Linked DNA regions of Mus musculus. The protein of the gene in region 1 purifies or fractionates together with the protein of each later gene. This does not show direct contact. Links are inferred from orthologs where the notes say so. Each region holds a gene or a part of one and is shown on either strand. Other genes may lie near its edges.

Region 1 (3,669 bases):
TCCAATGACAAGACCACATGTGCCACGCAAATATGGCTGCTTGTGCCCAGAGGGACTGAGGGCCCATTATTTGACACAGCAGTTTCCACAAGGAGGCCATGTGCATACAGACGTGGTGTAGTTTTGCTTATCTAACTACTAGAGGTAATACTTACTCACTCAATGGTTGCATAGCTGCATCAGTTTCTTCACTAAATTTGAGACTGACTTATTTTGACCCGTACCCTAAGTAACACTGCCCATATGTGCTAGCTGTATTTGGTTTTTATCTTTTCTTTCCTTCCTTCCCATCTCTTCTCCCCTTTCCCCAACTCTTTCCTCTTCTCTTCTGCCTTTACTTTCTGTTGCTGGTAGTGTGTTGTTTTGCTTTTATTTGTGTGCGTATGTATGTATGTATGTATGTTGTTGTTGTTGCTTGCTTGGTTTGGAGGCTGGCCTGGAACTCGAGACCCTCCTGCCTCAGACCCCTCAGTGCTGGTATTACAGATATGTACCACTGTATTCAAGTCTTTGACATACATCAAGATTTAAGCAAAGCTATTGCAATAATATATTTCTTGGTTAAACACCAGAGCCAGATTGTCTGTGGATGACATATGTATGCACCATGCCTTGAACATCATCTGCTCTGCAATAACAATGCTAAGGATGGAATCAGTCTAGTCTAGCCTAAGAGTAGTTACCATAGCTAGCACCCTCCTCTTGCTCCTCAGCAACTCTGCAATGTCTTATAGGGTTAACAGTATTCTTACTTTGTCCTGGGTTGTCCCAAGACTCCTTTGAAACAAGGGGAGCAAGCTTCTGATCCCCATTTTGGAGATGAAGGGGATAAAGTGGCCAACCCCGGGTTTAGCAGGTTCATGGTGACAGAGATGTGATGGCAATTAGGGGATCCCCACACAGCATGCTCTCTTAGTACTGTGTGTATGATGCTAAGAAGGAGTCCTAGAAAGGGACTTTCAGACAACCTGACAAGGCATCCAGGAGAGTATGGGTGGTAGCGACAGAGGCAGGAGGCAGAGCCACGTGATCAGGTAGGGTCAAGCCGGGATCTTACCTCCAACGTGGTGTCAAAGATGACCAATTTGGAGCTGGTAGCCATGGCATCATAACAGGTGTGTTCCTGCATGAAGTGCATGTAGACCTGGGCTCCGGGCTTCTGAAGTTCGTCATCCCAACTCAGGCCGAGAAGTGGGGCCTGTGGGGATGGACCAGGACGAGGCCTGTCCTTCCCCAGGCCTTCCAGCTCACAGTCCCAGGCCTCTGGGGCTGGGAACTCTATGGTCAGCTCCAGGTCACCTGTGCTGGAGCCCCCTGCTGAGGCTGCACAGTCGGGCAAGAGCAGGTCCCACCCTGTGGGGGAGGTCTCCGCTTCAGCCAAGGGAACAGCTTGAGCCAAGGGTGTGGCCTTCGGGAATGTGGCCTCCTGCCTGGTGGACTCAGCAGCTGGTCTGGACTGGGCACCTGTTGGGGGAAGAAGGCAGGGACGACAGTAACTTCATCTTCCAAAGCATGCTATCTGGGCTTTCAGGGTTTGGCAGCACAGGGGGCACCGGGATGGTAAAGAGTCTCAGAGTCCTAGCTGACAGCAACTCTGTTCCATCCCAAGGTGGCTGCACTGGGACCCTGGGTCATCACATAGTTATTGCCTCTCGTTTAGGGAGGCAGAGGCCACAAGGTGAGACTGTGTTTAAGTCCGTGTGATGGAGAGGCCCGAGGTCAAGCTCTGCTCTGGAATTCCTGCTGACCCTGTCACCATAACTGACCTTGGCCTCACCTTCTCCCAAACCTGGTGGTTCTGCTTCCTCTACGGCCTCCTGTCTCGTCCATCTGGAAGCCTTGACTCCCCGTATGGCACAGGTTCTTTCTGAGCTGGTGGCCACAGCTGGTGAGGGCCATGAGTTTTCTCCTTGTTCTAAGAAGTCCATCTCTGGAAGGAGGAAAGGAATCTCTTTGACTAGTAGGAAATGATACAACAAAACCAAGTCCCATGTCATTACTGAGCCTCTTGGAAGCTTTCAAAGCCCCCCTCCCCAAATATTTCTTGTTTTCTATTCATTGGAATTTTCCAAGATACGTATTGTAAATGGGAATAGCATTCCTATTTAGCCTCGAGGGACCGGAAACTCTGAGAGGTTAAGCAATTTACCACAAATTTCACAGCTGGAAAGTGGTAAGGTGGGGTTCAGATCTTCAGCAAAGAGGAAAGGGGAGGTGGGGGACACATTGGGAAAAAGAAGAGGGAGAAAGCTGAGAGGAGAAAGAATTTCTCCTGAAAAAAGCCAAGCTAGGGGTTAAGGACTGGGGTTCAAAAAGACGGAGGACAAGGGAGCTAAAGAGAAAAGGCTAGACCCACAGGGAGCGATACTCCACCCACCTTGACTCTCTGGACCCCCACTGTGGCTCCAGGTCAGGGTCTTTGGGAGAGAATGTCTGAAGTGAAAATGCTATCCGTTCTCAAGTCTCTGGGTTGTCCCCTTTAAAAAGCACACCCACCCCAAACACCACATGTATACAGATAGGCACAACTTGCACACCCCTGGTACACCTGGAACCTCACACAGGCACGTACACGCAAAATACATACATACACAGCACCGACCAGTTCACACACTCAGAGTACAGTGCACAGCAAGCACGCGGGCTACACACGGGCGCCCACACACAGCCACGCGCTTGCTGTCCTTCTCTGTCCCAGCGCCGGCCCCCTGGGACCCCGGTACCCCAGGCAATGTGTGCTCCAGCTCGGGCTCCATGCGGCCAGCTCTAGTCCGTTAGCAAGTGCGCGACAGGCGGCGGCAGGGTGGCACTATTCTGGGCTGGTCCCTGGCGGCAGGCCCTTGAGAGATCGGGTTCTCTCTGATTGTCAGGTCTTGGGAGGGAGCGCTTAACCCGCAGCTGTTCCCGCACTGCAGCTTGGGGGCGCTGCGGAGGCGGAACTCTCATCTTCGAACTGAAAGTTTTAAGGAGAAAAGTTGGCTTCCTTCACTTTCTCCTCCATGCAAACTTCCCTAGCCTAGGTGGGATGAGTTAGAAAGGATACACTCGAGGATAGAGAAGGGTAAGGGGGTTGTGAGTGATCCCGAGAGAGGAGCAGAGTATGTCAAGACATCCCATTTTGGGTCCTGCCACCCTATTCCCTTCTTAGGTGAAAGATGAAAGATGGAGAAGGAGAATCAGACCGGTGGGCACTCTGCTGGTCATCCCAAAGGTGAGAGATGGGGCAGAGGGAGTGGGCTTCACACCTGCGTGCAGAGGGAGCAGTACCTGAACCGACCTGTGCCTGCGGGATGAATGGATGTGCGGGAGTCCAGTCCCTAACCCACCATGAGTACTGACTCTGCATCTCTCTGTGCCAGAGGGGAACCCAGCCTGGCTTCTATGCGCCTCACCCCCTTCCTTGGCATTCCTAGGGCCTGAGTCAGAGTCCAAATGGGGAATGCTGAGCCAGCTGCTCTGGCTTTCCTCTCCCTGTCCCTCCCTCCCTCTTGTCATTCCAGTCTCTTCCATCGCGACCCTCTGAGTGGACACTCAGGAATGGACTATTGGGTTTCCTGCTGGATTTAGTGAACATATTTTCTTTTCTGCTTCAAAGCACCTGCAATGGCCTCCGAGGAGGGTGGAGAAGAACTGTGTGGGGGGGGGGGGCTTTTGCTTTTCATGAGTGTC
Region 2 (3,460 bases), on another chromosome or scaffold:
CTGTCTTAGATTCAGGTCAAAGTGCTAGAAAGGGTGAAGTGTCCGTGAGACAACGAACTCACAAACCCCATCCCACCCCCAGCCCCATCCCGAGTCTCCAGGCTCCTCTCCCAGCCTGGGCTCACCTTGGCAGCACTGGCGATGTCCACAGCCTCCACGATGTCTGTCTGCAGGATTTTTGCCGTGTCTTCCCCATCTTCTCCTACCAGAAACCTAAAAGGCAGTTAGGATGACGACGGTGACGGTCCCCACCATGCAGCGGGCATACAAACATAAAAACGCAGAGAGACAGGACAGCGGGGAAAGCCCAGGTCGGGGTCCACTCACCCAGGTTCCTCTGCAAGCAGCAGCTCAGCGCGGGCGGCTCTGACGCTTGCCTCTTCCTCTTGCGCTTCAGCCTTCTCGAGTTTGCTTTGAGTTTTAGGCTTCGAATGTGGGAGCTACGGCATTGTTGACAGGGTTGCAAGAACCGAAGAGCATATGTGGGGGTCCCAGGAAAACCACTGGGGAAGCCGCCACCACCTCATCCAAACCCTCGGCCTCCAATCCCTCTGACAGCCCGCCGGTCCTCACCGTTTTGGACTTGTCAATTCGACAAAACTTCCGGGCCTCCTCCAGGGGGGCGGGGACGGGTCCTGGGAACGGGTCCTGAGCCTGGCGAGGACAAGGAGGCAGGAGGCAGATTCTGATGGATCCGGTTCCTCTCGATCTCCGGGGACGACCTGCACCGCCACCCTGTCAACCCCAGGCTCACCCCCGACAGCGTCCTCTGAGGCTTCTTCCAGTCTGGAGCGGTCTTTGAGATCGGGGGCTTCTTGGAGAACCGGGACTTCTGGGCGATGTGCGCGCTCTTGGACCTCGGGGGTCGCGACTCCCCAGTCCTCGCCTTCTTCCGAGGCGGCCCCGGGGAGGTGGCGACGGCGGCCGGGGTGGTCTCCTCCTCCCAGTAGCGCCGCGGTTTCTAAGGGGCAGAGGAAAAGCCTTCGCACACGCTGCCCGAGCCTGGGCCCGGGACGCGGACACCTCCCACCAAAGCTACCTTCCTCTTGGCCTGAGGCTTGTCTCTCTTGGGTGGGACACCCCTACCCGGCTTGGGGGCTGTCTCCATCTCCAAGACCGAACAACGATCCACGTGCGAAACTCCCTTGAGTAGTAGCTCGGCGGTCTAGGAAAACTTCCGGAAGTCCCCCCCTTCATCCAATCAGCGCCGTACCGGCGTCTGAAGCCTCCGGCGCCATGTTAAGTGAGGGCATGCCTCTGTGAGCCCGGGAGGATCGCCCGAGGAGCAGCTTATAACCAAATAAAGATTTAAAAAGCATGTATGAGCCCCGAATCTTGTTAACTATGAGCTTAGATTTTTCCATATTAACTTTTCTGTCTTGCCCAAAACCTCTCGAGCCGAGTCTTTTAGGTCGAACGAGCCTCACACAAGTCAGAACTACATGTTCCAGCATGTATCGGAATGTAACTTCCGGCGCCGTCTTTTTCTCTCCCGTCATGCCTTGTTTACTTCCGGGTTTATTGATTACAGCGGGTAGAGCGTGAAGAGGTTAGCGTTTGGCTTGGAGGGTTCGGGGATCTCTTCTTTCGCTCTCCTTTGCCTAGGGAGTGGCTATTCTGGACGAAAAGAGGCTGCGGCGCCTCGGAGAGTTGCGGGTAGAAAGTGCTGTCCTTCTGCAGGGTCAGGGAGGGGGGATTCAGGTGCCTCCCAGAGCTTGAGACCCAGCGACCCCCGCCCAGGAGGCTTTCTCCTTCACCATGGCTGAACTGATCCAAAAGAAGCTGCAGGGAGAGGTAGAGAAATATCAACAGCTGCAGAAGGGTAAGAGAGGGAGTTGGTGTGGTCTCGCTCCTGTCCGCTCTCATCTATGATGAAGCGTCGCGCCCCATTGGGGGCTGCGGGGGTGCATCTTGTTACCCCTCGCCTCGGTATCGTCGCTTTCTTCCTCACACCCAGTCTCCCCAGAATTGCGCGGTTCTGGGCCCATTTGATGTTTTTAATCGTGCATTTCCTCTCTCCACCCCAGACTTGAGTAAATCTATGTCAGGGAGGCAGAAGCTCGAAGCACAGCTAACGGAAAACAATATCGTGAAGGAGGTGAGGATGGGACGCGGGGGTGGGGGGCGAGGAGGGACTCTCCTGGGCACGATCATCTCATTCACTGCCTCATCCCCTTCTCAGGAGCTGGCCCTGCTGGATGGATCCAACGTGGTCTTTAAGCTTCTGGGACCCGTGCTTGTCAAACAGGAGCTGGGGGAGGCTCGGGCCACAGTAGGGAAGAGGCTAGACTACATCACAGCAGAAATGTAAGTCCTGCGGATGGCGTTTTCAGTGCACAAGTGTTAAACCCGTGCTGGATAGTTCTCCACTTACCCATTTCTGTAAAGTCCTGGCTGCCCTGGAACTCGCTCTGTAGACGGGGCTGACCTGACACAGATGCGCCTGCTGCCGCCTCCTAAAGGATGGGATTAAAGGCATGTGGCACCACTCCTGGCCTTTCTTGCTGTGTGACATCTGGTGAGGGCACTTGTCAAAGGACAACCTGCGGGAATGTTTGCCTCCCTACTGTGGGGTTCTGTAGCTTGAATTCAGGTGCCAGCCTTGGAGGACAGCAGCCCTCTCTTCCCCTTAGTGCCATCCCCGCTTTCTGTCCCACAAACCTCCAGTCTTCCACCATATCATTGAGCCCTGGCTGATATCTCCTCTCCGTTTGCCTCCCTTTGCCCTCCTCAGCAAGCGCTACGAATCACAGCTTCGGGACCTCGAGCGGCAGTCAGAGCAACAGAGGGAAACCCTTGCTCAACTGCAGCAGGAGTTTCAGCGGGCCCAAGCTGCAAAGGCTCCTGGGAAAGCCTGACCCCGTGGGAGGGGGTCAGGAGGGAGGGATGAGGCTAACCCTGAGCCAATAAAATGTAAACAGAACCAAGCCTACTTTACAGCCAGTCTTTCTTCACTGTACTTCCATTCCCGTACACTTTTACACCTCTTGAGATTCACGGTCTTGTGACTGAAATCTCTCAGTGGCCGGATTCTGTTTTGCTTTCCTGTGGCTGAGAACTGTGCCCAGGGTGTTTCCTTGGGTCCCTTCAGTTTCAAAACTTTAGTCTGAAACGTCTCAAGCTATTTCTTGCCTGTACATACAACCCTTTGACTTCCCTACGTTGGTTGGCGTAACCGGGAGACACGGGAGAAGACACTGTCTACAGTGCAGCATGTTGTTCGTTGCCATAGAACTCAGTTCTCTGGCCTGAGAGCCCAGGAAATGACAGTCACTCACGGTGAGCACTTGTCTCCCCAAGCAGCCCTAGCCCTAGACTGTTACCTGATTTCCCCGTCTATCTTCTCAGGGTTGGTTTGAATGTAACTTTTTTTGGTTTTGGAGACAGGGTTTCCCTGTGTAGTCCTGGAACTCACTCTGTAGTGAGGCTGGCCTCGAACTCAGAAATCCGCCTGCCTCTG

What was found. Proteins that work in one complex are often made in the same cells at the same time.
Region 2: the proteins of Prkag3 (region 1) and Pfdn6 purify together in Homo sapiens (affinity purification with mass spectrometry; 3 studies listed by BioGRID and IntAct, with this or other methods). This does not show direct contact. The link is inferred for Mus musculus from reciprocal best matches to the Homo sapiens genes PRKAG3 and PFDN6.

What each region holds. Positions count from the first base shown.
Region 1 is NC_000067.6:74,746,095-74,749,763, forward strand, and holds the start of Prkag3 (5'-AMP-activated protein kinase subunit gamma-3), read right to left. Parts: upstream 2,862-3,669; 5' UTR 2,757-2,861; coding exon 2,724-2,756; intron 2,418-2,723; coding exon 2,378-2,417; intron 1,931-2,377; coding exon 1,778-1,930; intron 1,465-1,777; coding exon 1,058-1,464; intron 1-1,057. UniProt on the Homo sapiens protein: AMP/ATP-binding subunit of AMP-activated protein kinase (AMPK), an energy sensor protein kinase that plays a key role in regulating cellular energy metabolism.
Region 2 is NC_000083.6:33,938,386-33,941,845, reverse strand, and holds Pfdn6 (prefoldin subunit 6), read left to right. Parts: upstream 1-1,502; 5' UTR 1,503-1,758; coding exon 1,759-1,822; intron 1,823-2,027; coding exon 2,028-2,098; intron 2,099-2,182; coding exon 2,183-2,307; intron 2,308-2,734; coding exon 2,735-2,858; 3' UTR 2,859-2,937; downstream 2,938-3,460. Other genes in the region: Wdr46 (WD repeat-containing protein 46), read right to left, coding at 1-24, 126-213, 328-440, 574-654, 755-961, 1,087-1,197. UniProt on the Homo sapiens protein: Binds specifically to cytosolic chaperonin (c-CPN) and transfers target proteins to it. Binds to nascent polypeptide chain and promotes folding in an environment in which there are many competing pathways for nonnative proteins.